Styela clava: one gene and its partner. The protein of the gene in region 2 interacts with the protein of the main gene of each other region in a pairwise test. Links are inferred from orthologs where the notes say so. Each region holds a gene or a part of one and is shown on either strand. Other genes may lie near its edges. The genes, in order: peptidyl-prolyl cis-trans isomerase-like 3 and pre-mRNA-splicing factor SLU7-like.

Region 1 (6,779 bases), on a different chromosome or scaffold from region 2:
CTTCGCTCCAATTCTTCTGCGGTGAGCGGCTCAAGAGATCTTTGCCTAAACAACAGCATACCATTGAAATCTGTAGCTCAAATTAGAGGTAATGAAAAAATCGTCATTATAATGACGCTCAGTGGAGGCACATTGTGCTAAGAGTTAGATTTCACCTTCAATCACTCCTACCATATCTCCCTCATTATGGCTTCTTTCTCCATCAAGTCCATACATCTGAAACAAAGAACTGACTAACTAATACCATACCTGATATGGACTGGTAGTGGTAACCAAATGAAAGGGTTCGCCATATGATTAAGTCATGTTATCGGAGTTCCTCTCCCTGGGATAAAATGTGTGAAATATTCAAATACTGTTATCATTAACTTTATTGTAATTTTACATACAGCATGAAACCAGTCAGTTCATATACAAAAAATAGTGTTACCGTGGTTCTGTTTTCCATGAATATTTAATTTGAAAGTCCTGAACTGGTTTTTGTTGGAGAGGCATTTTTTCAAGTTTCAAAATAACACGTCTTTTTCTTGTTATTTGACTCTGTCTCATTTCGGAAGATGCACTGATCCCTGATCGCCCTTGAAAGCCAGCATTTGCCATACATGATGTTGATATAAATTTTTTTGAAATATTTGTATAGCAAGTGGTTTCAGATGCTTCACGAAGGAAACGTCCCCATAAACTCATTGTTATAAACAACTAAATTGCATACTATAGAATACAAAAACATACCGTATTAGCAGTTTTGTGTGAAAATAATTCCATGAAACAGCCAGACCTCTCTAGTTCAATCTGTATATTACAGTTAGCAGAACATGCACAAAAGGAAAATATATTATAAATTTCTTTAAAAAATTATCCCAGATTGTACGATGTACATAACAAAATCCCATGCAAGAAATGATGTCAAGAAAATGGATTTAAGGGGATGGCCCAGACCAGAACGATTTACTATTCTGAATACACTCTAAGTTGGGTGATGTTAAACAAGAATACAAAGTCATGGGTACATGAGAGTTAAGATGAACATTGGTATGTTTGGTTTCGTATTTATTACATTTGGGAATAAATGAAATACTGTGAGACTTCAATTGAAGAAAATTTCCAAATTGAATAACATTTGTAATTACTAATTATCAAGAATTCAAAATATTGAATATATTTATCTTGAATCAATTTGATCCATTTTGGGCATCCCTGAATATTCAGTTTTATTGGCACTTTGGATCATGTAAAAACGGTTTACATTTCTAATTGTTTGTTCAAACATATCCCTTACATATGCAAAGATACCACAATCATAATAACATGCTAAATTGAAAATACTTCAAACTCAAATCTATCCACTGCAACATTGGCACTTCTATCTATCTATTGGAAAATATGCCCAAGGGTTTCCCAGATTTTTGGTAGCGAGGAATCAATTTAGTACTAAGTAAGCAGAAACCAAAACTAATCCTGATTCAGAATTTTTATTGCTGTATTAACATGCATCAGCAATAGGATTAGCATGAATTGTTACTCTTTGTATCCTAACATCAGTCATGGGTCTGTATGTTTTCTCTTCCACAGGAAGCTTTTCAAGGTCGTCCAGAATCTCAAGTCCGTCAATAATACGACCTATGATTGTGTATTTTGTGTCTAAATGTGGTTGTTTTCCATATGTAATAAAAAATTGTGATCCATTCGTATTTGGTCCACTATTTGCCATTGAAATTACACCACGACTATTATGTCTTAATGATTCGCAAATTTCATCTTCATATTTTCTATTCCATATACTTGTCCCACCTTTCCCTGTACCTGTGGGATCGCCAGTCTGTATCATGAATCCTTTTATATTACGATGAAACAAAGACGAATCATAATAGTTACTAGCACATAAGGCTAGGAAATTTTCACATGACTTCGGTGCTTGTTCGCAATGAAGTTCAACTTTTATATCCCCAAGATCTGTGTGCAACGTCACTGACATTATTTTTATAAGTTTTTGTAATCAATTTCAACTGCAAAAAGCATAAAGAACTAGTTAAAAGTCGAATGTCATGAATTGAATGCAGTAATTGGCTTTATATCCCCCATTGAGATAAATATATAATCTTATTCATAACTGCAGAACTGAGTCAACTGGAAATGTATGCATCAAAATTAATCTTTCAGTATATAAATTAAAAATGCATATCTATATCTTGTTGATACTTCGATATTCAAATCAATGAAACCATACTATTTACCGGTAACGAACCATCAATTGTATATAATTGATTATTGCGCAACATTTTTTTCTGAAACAGCGCTGAATCTTCCCTTGGCATTTAGAAGCCATCTGATATAACTTTGGCCCAGAATTGAAATGTGTTTTTGAATTGAATATAGTTGAAAAATATAAAATACTAATAACTACTATAGCCTAATTCATGCCAGAACTGCAAGTATATCGAATACAAGATTTATTCCTTTCGAGTTTTCACATTATCTCATTAAAACATTTTTCTGAAGAATCAGTTCAAATGATATTTGAAAATAATGTATTTCAAAATTTCAGCAGTCAAAATAACTACTGTATGCATTTTAGTATCAGGACTATTCAAAACAAATCAATGTAAAGATGTTTTTGAGGAAAATTGGGATAATTCGATCAAACGATTGAAATAAATATGTAAATCCTATCATATCCATTAAATGAGCTAACTCAACCACGACAATATTCACGCTATAAACTACCCCCAATCGTGAAAGGTGAAGAAAACCAACCGGCCAGCTGGAGATTACGTTATGCTATATGACAGTGCAGTAGTGCTGTTCTCGACCTTCTACCGTATGGCCCGTGGCCTCCTTTTTTTTCACTTCAGTGGTAGGCCTATCGCTATTCAGAGTGTTATTTTATTGGGTAGATTCCAAATCCCATGGACCTTTAACCCCCGGAAATTCCTCCTATACGGTACCTTTACCGGTACGGTACCATTGCAAAATTTTCAGTACTATTTTAGGAGTGCTTTTGCGAGTTGGCACCTGTAAAATGGGGTATGTGTTTCAAACCATGATTATGATCCATCGCACACAACAATCTGTTTATTAAAAGTTTCCTACCGGTAAAGAATTTCAGGCTAGTCTATCACAGCTACAGGTATTTCTACACTAATTTTTATTAGGCTACTGCAATTAAATTAAAACTCCTAGGAAGACAGAGTGATCATTGAATTATCTGATTTTTATTTAATTTTCCGAAACACAACTGAAAACTAACGAATAGAGTTCAAAAACGCGAAAACGAGGTGATGTTTACAACCACGTTTGAAAATATGTCTGAGTGCGAAAAGTGTCTGAGCGGATGCGAAAAGGGGGCTTTGTTACGTCACTTTTTGCATCTTGCTGATTGGCCAATGTCACGAAGTAAACGAAGAAGTCGATGCTCGGGGAAAGGTCCATTATGTTCAAACAATTCATGACCAACAATTTAATTATGGATCATACAGTAATATTCCAGTCTTAAAATAATCTTCCTATACTGTTAAACTTATTGTGTAACAAGGGAACTGTATATTTAATCATGCATACCCAACGACTAACATACCGTGCATACCTAATTGCGGATCATATATTAATATTTCAGTTCTTTTTCAATATGTATCAATACCAACGACTAACATACCGATCAATACTTATGAATGTTGTAAATCAATTCAATAACCAATCAATCGCCTAACCCTAACCTGTTACCCATGTTACGTTCCGATGTCCGCCATCTTGGTTCGCATACTTCGGGAGCACCTCTTTTTATATTGTTAAAAATCATTGTGTAAAAAGTGATAAATACCTTTATTAATTGCTTATTTAATTGTGGATCATGTATTAACATTTCATTTCTCAAGTATGTATCAATAGGTACTTATGAATGTCGGTAGCCAATATAGCCTACAGTATTCAGTGATTGTCACTGTCTCTTTTTTCCTTGGTTCTATTTCATAAATTAACTTTATAACCTTTTATATTGTTAAAATTCATTGTGTAATAAGTGATGAAATGTAGGCTATATTCAATTGTGTAATCCATTTTCTAGTCTATTTCAAGTAATGACCTCCTTATATTGTAAAACCCACTATGTAACAAGTAAACTGTATATTTAATTGCGAATCATATACAGCAGTGGTTCCCAAACTTTTTGTACTATCGCCCCCCTACAGTAGTTTTTACAACTTCTTCGCCCCCCCCAGCACTACAAAAAATGTGAAGTCAGAAACGATTACATTACTGACCAAATAAGAAGACAAATAATATTTATAGTGTTTTTTAAAGAGCTTGGTGTTCTTCAGCAAGTTTTATTTATTATTAGGTGACATTTTCGTCAGTCACAATCTTAAATCACCCCGTTTACTGATAGAAAGGCGATTTCGTTGTCTTGATAGCAATAGTAAGTGTCAATTTATAAGAAAGCCGACGCTTTAGATTTGTGAAAAAATTGGCCACCTATTTCAAATCTAAACGTCGGCTACAACGTCATAACAAAACTCTTGACCCAACGCCTCATAAGCCCCAGAAATTCTTTATTTCATAGTTTCTATTGATATTCTCAAGGCGTTTGACATGGTTCATCATAGTTATCTCGGATATTACTCGAAATGATCAGTGCTTCCACTGAAGTTGCTATCGTGCTTGAACTGCATTATCAAAATAGTAAATTTGGACCTCCTGAAGTATGCGCGCCAAGATGGCGCACAACCTGAACTCAGGTTAGGATTCAGCTTTAAATAGTCGGCTGTTTAGCTAATTTGTGAACAGCAAAGACAAAACACAAGGATTGCTCACCGATAAACTTCTGGCTTAACATGGTGTCTTCGAACTCGTCGCTGACTTCTCACGCTATTCCCCAACTGCAAATTTGCCCTTCTACGTGAGAGTGCTAGCGTAGATTCTTATCTCTAATGATTGCGTCTATGCATGCTGCTTAGTTTGATAGAATTTGTTATTACACCTCACATAGATAAAATGCGCTGTGAGTACGTCATAAAAGATGGGAAAATTTTGACTGTCTTCGACGCGCGTAACTTTTGTAGGTGGTACGCGAGCATTGCATATACATAAAACCTCGCAATGGTACGTGGGTGAAAGAAGGTCTGGAAACACCGCATCTACATCATCAATGTGGAGCCGCTTAGCCGTCTTATAACGACAAAAAACAGGATTAAATGCATAAGAATAGGTAATTACACACATAAACTAGCTCAGTATCCGTACGACACAAACTTTATTGTGTCGGACATATACTCGATCGATGCTATTTTTCAGGAATAAATAAAGCTAAAAACACCGTTCTTTGTACAAACGATAGGGCGAAAGAAATGATTTCTTATTTGCCCTATTATGTATTTGTAAAAGATCATATAAAAATCCCGGGTAATCATTTTGGAAGGAACCGAGTCAATTTAACTTGGGGTGAAAAATCTCCAAGATAGAAAACAATATTAACTTTGATAGGACCCGATCTCTATCTTGGCACGGCAAGATCTTGGTAATCAATTCCCTGATCTTGTCTCAATTCATCTATAGTGCGAGGTCGGTAGAAATACCACCTCACACAATTAAATATATAGATAGGGAAATATTTTCTTTTCTCTGGACCTCTGAGCCCATGGAAGTTTTAGGCAGGCGAATCCCCCGGAACGATGAATCTATAGGTGGAATGGGTGTTCCTTGTACAAACACCATAATAGTTGCTTGCCAGGATGAACGATTCAATCAACTGGTCTCGCTTGTTAATCCCACACAATTGTGGCATAAAGAGCCTCAATACAGACTTGGCAGCAAAATAATGCTGGTCAACCCAGGTTTATTTAGCATTCCTAATTCCATCCACATTCCAGAATCTTAAACAGGCCATGGTATTCCGCTAACTCTCTTTATTTTTTCAGGAAAAGGAAATACCATACCTTATACCACAGTATAAAAAGATTAGTATCGGTGGTTCGTGGCCTACTTAAAAAAAAACGAAATCAAGCTGTAAGCTTATAAACTCCGTTATAACAAGGAAACACCAAAAGATGAGAAACTACATTTGTATCCGGAAACTCCGAAGAAAAAATTTGAATTGTATCCTACGACATGAATAGGATGAAGACGTCGAAAAATCATCGTGTGAATGTTTCACTATCTGGTGCTTCCGTGTAATACACACAATGTACCAACACGGAAAGCTATACGAAGGAGATGTTATGAAGATTCGTAGTTATCGTAATTGATTAGTTCAATGCTTATTCAATCGACCCGAATATTTTAAAAACTCAAATTTGTAAAATCACTTGACACCAAAGATAAGCTCACGCAGTGCTCTTGGGGTCGTAAAATTAAATTATTAAACGAGCAATTTTACAAAACATTTATTTTAGCAGAAATTACTTCAAAGTGAGAAAGATTTGCTGGTCTGTCAGCTGGAAGTTTTTGAGATCGTGGCGTAATCGTAGATCCTTTGGATTTTACTGCGCTTTTATTTAAGCACTATTATTCCGCATATCCGATGCTTGATTGTCTTGAGCCTTCTATTTGTAATATTGATAATATTAAAATGGTTCTGAAATTCTTAACTATTTTCAGACACCGTGTGGATGCGACTGCAGAGATTATCGTCTTTGTGATGGAACAGATTTCTAAAAATCCAAAAATATGGAATTTCTGCATAATTTTGTTTCATTTGAAGTTGAACATTCATATCCATAAATGATTTGAATTATCTGTGAATTAAATAAAATGCAGTAATAATGTGTCTCGTAGTGCTTATTAGTTAT
Region 2 (7,239 bases):
ACTTGCCAGGAGGCCAGCTGGATGACTGAGCTAAAAAAAATTGCAATCGCACAATACTCTCTTTTCATAGCGAACCTTGAGTGGTAATTATGTGTAAAAGCACGGTTAGTTTATCACTTCTCTCAACAAACAATTTCACATATCTCGAACAAATTGAAATCCCCACTTGGGACAGGAAATTTAATGTAAGGGTGGGGGTGTGGTCTGCGGGGGGGGGGGGGGGGGGGGTCTTTTCCGCCATGATTAGAAATATGTTTCCAAATTCCCAAACACAAGCCTAAATCAGGGTTTCTCAACATGAACCATCAGCCCCTGTACAGGGACACAGCATTGTTTTTTCTGAGGGTTGTTGATATGGAGTGTTTCGAGTCTTTGAAATGGATCCAAGGATCATGGAAGATTTAGGACTACTGCCTCTAATATTGTTAAAGATTTCACATTCGTCCATTGAAAACATATTGTATAATATTTACAACAAGACAGAAGAGAATGAGTTTTTACAGAACAATACAATCCATTGAATAAAGCCAGAATATATACTCACATCAGAATAAATGGTCATGCTTTATAACAGGAATGGCGAATCTAATTTAACACATTAAAGAGATACAATTATACATAGTTAGGCCTACACATATAAGGATGTCTGAAACAAATCGAACATTCGAAATAGTAAATTATTGAATTAGTATAATTCAGTGGAGTTTTATCTAAAAAACGTCCTAATAAAGTATACTCATGTTTCATTTCAATTTCCTATGAACCATCATTTTTTACTTTTGAGTGAGTACACATGACCTTGTTTTGAGCAAACTTTCAACTTTTGATAAAATTCAGAAATTCAGTATTCAGTGATATTTACCGTAGATGTCAAAACTGATGCACAAATTAGAGCGTTTCAAGGCAAAAGTGCAACTCCTAAGTTTTGAAAAACTTATATTTGATATTTTACAAAGAAATACATGTATTTTCATCTGGTTTACTAATTACAGTTTGAAGCAATATTCACCAAAGTATTTTGATTAAAAATATAATTCAAACATAAAAATATGTGTATTTTCCCCAAATTCACCGAACAGTTTATTTGAGGTTTTGTCCTTTTGGTTTGAACCCTCTAATTTGTAACAAGTATGGAATTTACATAAAGAGGATGTACGCCATTACATTGCCAATTTGCCCAATTGTGTGCTGCACCCACATTTATAACTTAAATAAATTTAGCCATTGGGTCTTCCATATTTTTCTTAGTCCTATGGTAAGCTTCCAATTCCTCTTGTGTTGGTTCTTGTACCTCGACCATGCTATTATACGGACGTTTACGTTCATCAAGTCTCATCAATTCATCAACTTCCTTTTGTCTACTTTTTTCTATCTTGATCGCTTTTTTAATCGCACGTTCTTTATCCTTCTCCGCTTCGTGAATCATTTTCTTTCGTTGTCTTTTCTCTGACGGCTCATCAGAATCTGACGATGATGAAGTCTCTTCACTCGACGAACTGCTTGAACTGCTTTCCACTTTTTTCTTTTTCCGTTTCTTTGATTTTTTTTTCTTTCTCTTTTTGCTTTTCTTTTCTTTCCCTTTTTCTAATTTTTCTCTGTGCTGTTGTAACAATGACTTAGTTTCAGTCTCTTTTTCAATTTCATCATTTTGTATCTCCGTGATTTCTTCCAATTGTGGTGCCCCATCTACTGTCTTGATGTTTTCCAAACCTAGAGCTTTCGTCCAAGCAGAATGCTTTTCCTGCAAGGCTTCCATACGATTTTGTTTCTTTTCAGGCATCTCGTTTGTATCTTCTTTGAGAGTATTTCCAGTACAATATGATTGTTTGATAGTTGAATGGCAACACTGGAATCCCCATCGCCCTTCCTTCCAATAAGAACCCCAAACAGATGTGTGGTTGTTCAAGTAAACATCTTCAATATATTTAGACTTTGCTTTTGCTTTTTCAAGTCCTTTTATAACAGTTCCATGTCTTGAATACTCCACATAGTCTTCTGTTTGAGCATGCAATAGTTCTTTCGGTGGAGCATCTAAATGTTCCACACCGCCGTACTTATCAAGAATTGAATCTCTTTGGTCGTTTTTGAAATCCTCTTTCCGCACTTTATATGTTCTTTGCAGCATCTCTAATCGTGTTGGGTCAGCTTGTAAATGAACACCAGACCCCTTTTCAGCTGCTTCCCAGGCAAACATTTGCATTGAAGCCATTTTTTGTGTATCGCCAGTTACTCGTACAAAATTATCTCCAGCAAAATCTAGCTCTTCTTCATTTTTACCTTGATTAGCGTAAGGATTCTCTCTCATTGTCCTAGTTTTGGGGTCATAATATGCAGAATTTGGATCTAAATTTCTCAAATATTTAGCAGTGTCCTCTCGTATACGTAAATTACGAACAGTAATTCGCCTTTTACTGTCAAAATTTTGTCCAGGCATATCTGCTGCGTCAGCATATTTATCATCATCGCTCAGATTATCGTCGTTATCGTCTAATTGTTCCGACATTTTTCCGCTCAATAATTCTTCTTGTAACTTCTGAGCTTTTAGGGCTTGTTTTGCAACTTCAATTTTTGCATATTCTTCAATAACATCTTCATGTTGTTCAGCGGTATATCCATTCCATCGATCCCGTTTTCCGTCAAAATCCATATTTAAATCTGGCTGTATATGTTCATCTGGAGCTATCATATTTCCTGTGAATTTAGCCCCAATTTTTCTCGGTCGTTCTAGACAATCTTTCTTCTTATGCGTCATGGCACCACAATTTTCACATGCACCTTTGCGATATTTTGTCGCTACAGTTTTAGTCGACGCACCACGGAGATACCAATCATTAATTTTACTGAATTCTTTTACAGTCTCTGGCTGTACCCTTTGATGTTTCAATGACGGTCGCTGTGTGGGGTCAACATACCAAGGAACTGTAGAAATATATTGCGGAATGTGAGGGTTGATATCCTTTCCCTCTTCATCGACTTCTGCTGGAGCGTTTCCTAATTTCCGAGCCTCCTCAAGTTCTTTCTTTTTCCGCCATTCTTCTCTCGATTGTTTCTTTGGTTCTTCATTTTTTCTTTTCTCTCTTTCGATCGCTGACAAAGGTTTAGCGACCTCTTTTGATAATACAACTGGACGTGACATTATTACATTTTCTAATAAAAAAATATTCGTTAGATTTTAAACAGAATAATGATGTAGAACAAACAGACAGCACACTATATTTCACAAGAGCGATGTGGAACAAACAGACAGCACACTATATTTCACAAGAGCGATGTAGAACAAACAGACAGCACACTATATTTCACAAGAGCGATGTAGAACAAACAGACAGCACACTATATTTCACAAGACCGACTGCGATCTTTACATTCTACAGTAGGACACAGTTCTCCAATTCCATGACATCAATACATTTGGTTCAATTGAACAAACACTATTTTTGTCTCTAGAACCAGGACCTCTGGCAAGACAGCAGTTCGCACTATGCTTGACCCGATAATATAACTCTCGGATGTTACAGTAAACTTTTTTCTCTTAGTGAATTGAATTATTTTCTGATTAATCCAATAGTAACGTTTTACATTGTGCTTCCTTTTCGTTTATTGAGCAGGGCCAATTTGCTAATATGGAAGCCCAGACCGACTTGTGAAGATCCATTACTGTTTTAATTGATGCCTTTTAATATTGGGGCTTTTTTTGAATATGGGAACTGTGCCATACGGTAACGTACCTACTGGTCTACCGCCCAATGAGTTCAGTTATACAGTATCGGTATGTCTTCCATTGCAGGGGCTATTTTTGAAATTGGAATAGTCTACAGTATTGTATTGCTACAAGCGAACAAAGTTATGAAACAATTGTAAACAAGCAGATCTTTCTCTGCAGGGGGAAGTGGAATAAAAGGATTAATACCGGTATTGGGTCTTGGTGTACAATATTATTTGAAAAGCCAGGTTTGGAAATAGACTACAGTTTTCTTGAAGTTTTGAATGTAAATCTTGTAGCTGTAGTTAGGCTACTTCAGTACTTTGATATGAGGATAAATGCAGAAATTGCTTCTAATCCTTGATTCATTCCTTGTAGCTTACATGAAAATATGGACTCAACTGTTCGGCAATTAACATAAAATCGAATAAACATCCTGGTACCGGTACCGTATCTGGGTATACAGGTACAGGCCTAGTTAGGGCAAAAAAGTTCAGAAACAGGGCTACAGATCCAAAATATAAAGCTTAAAATAAGACTAAAAGTCCCAATGCAGATAAGACTACGTTACCGTAACCAATGATATGCATTGGCTAACATTGATTGATTGACATATAACCGGTACCGTATCGTACACTAGATTTCACCTCAACCAAACACTAAAAACGAAGAAGCAAGAAAACCATAAACCAAAACGTTTATTCAGTCAATACTGACAATAAATGCACTAGGTGACGCAACACAAAAACGTTATTTTGCCCCCCCCCCCTCCTCATTTCGCTGATTAACCTGAAAGTGGCATAGATGTGTATAAAATAACTTTTTTTTATTAAAACTACAGGTCTGTTCCGGTAGGAACACATAAAATATGATCAACCAATTGGCCGGAGACTCTTTAACTGCGGTAAGTAATATCCCGTTATCGGGCAAGGAATGCCAAAATGAAATCGTATTGCTAAATTGTTGTTGGTCTTGTTATCGGTCTCAATTTTCTCATTCCGATATTTCACCAAAATGTTGCTGTTTAACATGGATTGGAGACGTATACTTTTTTATTCCGTATCGCTCGACCTCCTCCGTATTTCTTGTCCTTCGATTTTTCAGCAAAATCATATTCTCAGATTCATTCCTTTTATTTCGTGTTGTTAAAAAAATCTTAAGATATACGATAAACCAAAAAATGCAATTTATTTCAGTAAATTAGAAAATTGATCGAACACAAATTACAATGACAACTTACTTCATCGAACTGTAATCCGAAATACAGCCGTGTACGGCCAGCCTTAGGCAACTATTTTAAATGGCCTTCTTAATAGATTTGAAACTCACAATGAATAATAAATCACGAGCGAGCATTTCGCGCGAGCAATTAATTGAACTTTTCATTTTTAGCGCGTATGTATTGGTTGCGATTACTATTGTTTATAAAATAGCATTTAGATAATATTTTCTCTGTCGCAGGCTCCGAAAACCAATTTGAACATTTATTAGTTCGATTTGTAAATTTAGAATGAATAAATCGGTTAACTTTTTTTAAAATTTCCAATAGGATTCAATGATAATGCTTATGGGTGTACGTCGCACATCTAGGAATATGTATCCCGTCTTTGTAATATTGTTAAATTATTATGCAGATTCTGCTACATTTTTGAGGTAAATAAACATATATATATATATATATATATATATATATCTAATACGGTAGTTAAGTAGACATAGCGTGCTAAAAAAGCGACAGTTATGTAGACGGAAAAATTGTGTAGACATTTTCCTGTCCGCTTAATTATTCCACGTGCCATAATTAAAACGTTTTGCGATATTTTGCTGAAATCTTTTTTTCTCTGATAAAACAGTATCAAAAATAATATGTTCTTTCAATATTTTTCAAATAATTGCACATTTTCGCCAACTTTAATGGGACAGTAGTTCTGCTGGTTTATAATCAACGGGTTTAATTTTCGTACATAAAGTGGACATTTTATTTATGCAAAAATCTTTTAATTTTTCGGTATATGTTTTTACGATTTTTGGAGAGTAGGTTTGATAATTTTGATACAATAACCAGGCAGAACATGAAGATCGTCCGTTCTGTTTTTTGCAATATAAGCTCAATAAACTGAAAAGGACCTCAATTCACAACTCCGTACTAAAGAGGCTTTGTGTCGCAATAGTAAAACTGTCGGGTTCGCCGAGAACTTTACCACGTTTGCCGTTTTGTTCGCAAGTAACCTGGGCGCCGTGAGGGGATTGGGATCTTCATGAGTGCGTGATTGCCGAAATTTAGATAAAATAGAACAGTTGTGTTTGGAGAAGCGATCCAAGTCTTTTGTGTCAGGTGTTATCAGTTACCCAGTGAGTTGAAGTCGAGTCATAATAAGCAAGGATTTCAACGTCACCGAGGAATGCTGCTGGAAATCATCACTCATCGGATGAGGTGATTAGTCATAACGATTTTTAATATTAGGGTTACTATATTTTTGGTGTTGAGATTTTTCACGTAATCCAGATTATCAAAATATAGACTACTGATACTGTTATGCTTTTACTGGTCGTAGTTCTGATCTGACCATCAAAATAATTCTACGACTGGGTTTGCGTTTGTAAGAGTGTGTAATTCAGAAGGATTCCAAATCCAGATGAAAATACAAACGAAGATTGTGAAAATTCAATGAATTCAATTTTTTGTCGAAAAAGAAGGATATACGAGAAGCGAGTGGTTGACGTTTGTATAGTTTGGTGTAAATAAAAATATCTAATACACCGCTCCATATTAGATTAAAATATTTCATCTTCGGAAAACAGTTTTGAAGAATTGCATTGCTAGCAATTTTGAATTTTGTTTTGTGATTTGGCACATATCCCTGAGTTATTTTACCATCCTCATCTAGTTATTTACTGGGCTGTATTTTTTGTTCACATTTAGGTGACTCTCCAACGAGATGGCCCACGTTTCAGAACTTGGCAGACGGAAATGCGGGTAGTGATTCGGAGAAAGCTGTGCCAGGAGGTGACTAAATGAGTTTGCTATGCTTGTTTTTTTTATTAAATACAGTATCGTAAATTGATACCAATGAATGGTAATAAACCAAATCATAATATCATTTGTATCCCATCACAAATAGCGCAGCTATCTACGAATAATTGTAGTGCACCTTTTAGAAACTCTGGTTTATTTGAGTAATAATGCATTTCGTTTGTTCGATCAATCAAGAGTAGCGTAATTCTGAATTGGACTAAAACACTGTGATGATGTTTTGTGACTTATGCATGTATTTTTGACCAAAGTTTCAGATACCGCACCATCTTCAGAATCACTTTCAATAAGCAATGTAAGTGATTTCAAAGAAAACCATATATATGGAAAAGAAAAAGGCTGTAAATCAATTAAAAAAAAAAGCTTTTAAACAAACGCGAACCAGAAAAGAAACGACGAAAAGAAAAATATTTGCACGGATTGGTATATCTTGCGAGAAGTTTATTGTAAAGCTTTAAGACATCTCTGTATAATTCATAAAGATGAACCGGTAGTGAGCATA

The links.
Region 1: the proteins of pre-mRNA-splicing factor SLU7-like (region 2) and peptidyl-prolyl cis-trans isomerase-like 3 interact in binary tests that used the Homo sapiens proteins (3 or more experiments, as listed by UniProt). The link is inferred for Styela clava from reciprocal best matches to the Homo sapiens genes SLU7 and PPIL3.

Annotation. Positions count from the first base shown.
Region 1 is NC_135253.1:5,216,044-5,222,822, reverse strand, and holds peptidyl-prolyl cis-trans isomerase-like 3, read right to left. Parts: upstream 2,103-6,779; 5' UTR 1,976-2,102; coding exon 1,484-1,975; 3' UTR 712-1,483; downstream 1-711. Other genes in the region: large ribosomal subunit protein mL40-like, read right to left, coding at 1-45, 431-687. UniProt on the Homo sapiens protein: PPIases accelerate the folding of proteins. It catalyzes the cis-trans isomerization of proline imidic peptide bonds in oligopeptides. May be involved in pre-mRNA splicing.
Region 2 is NC_135250.1:26,647,873-26,655,111, reverse strand, and holds the start of pre-mRNA-splicing factor SLU7-like, read right to left. Parts: upstream 3,173-7,239; 5' UTR 3,137-3,172; coding exon 1,208-3,136; 3' UTR 1-1,207. UniProt on the Homo sapiens protein: Required for pre-mRNA splicing as component of the spliceosome. Participates in the second catalytic step of pre-mRNA splicing, when the free hydroxyl group of exon I attacks the 3'-splice site to generate spliced mRNA and the excised lariat intron.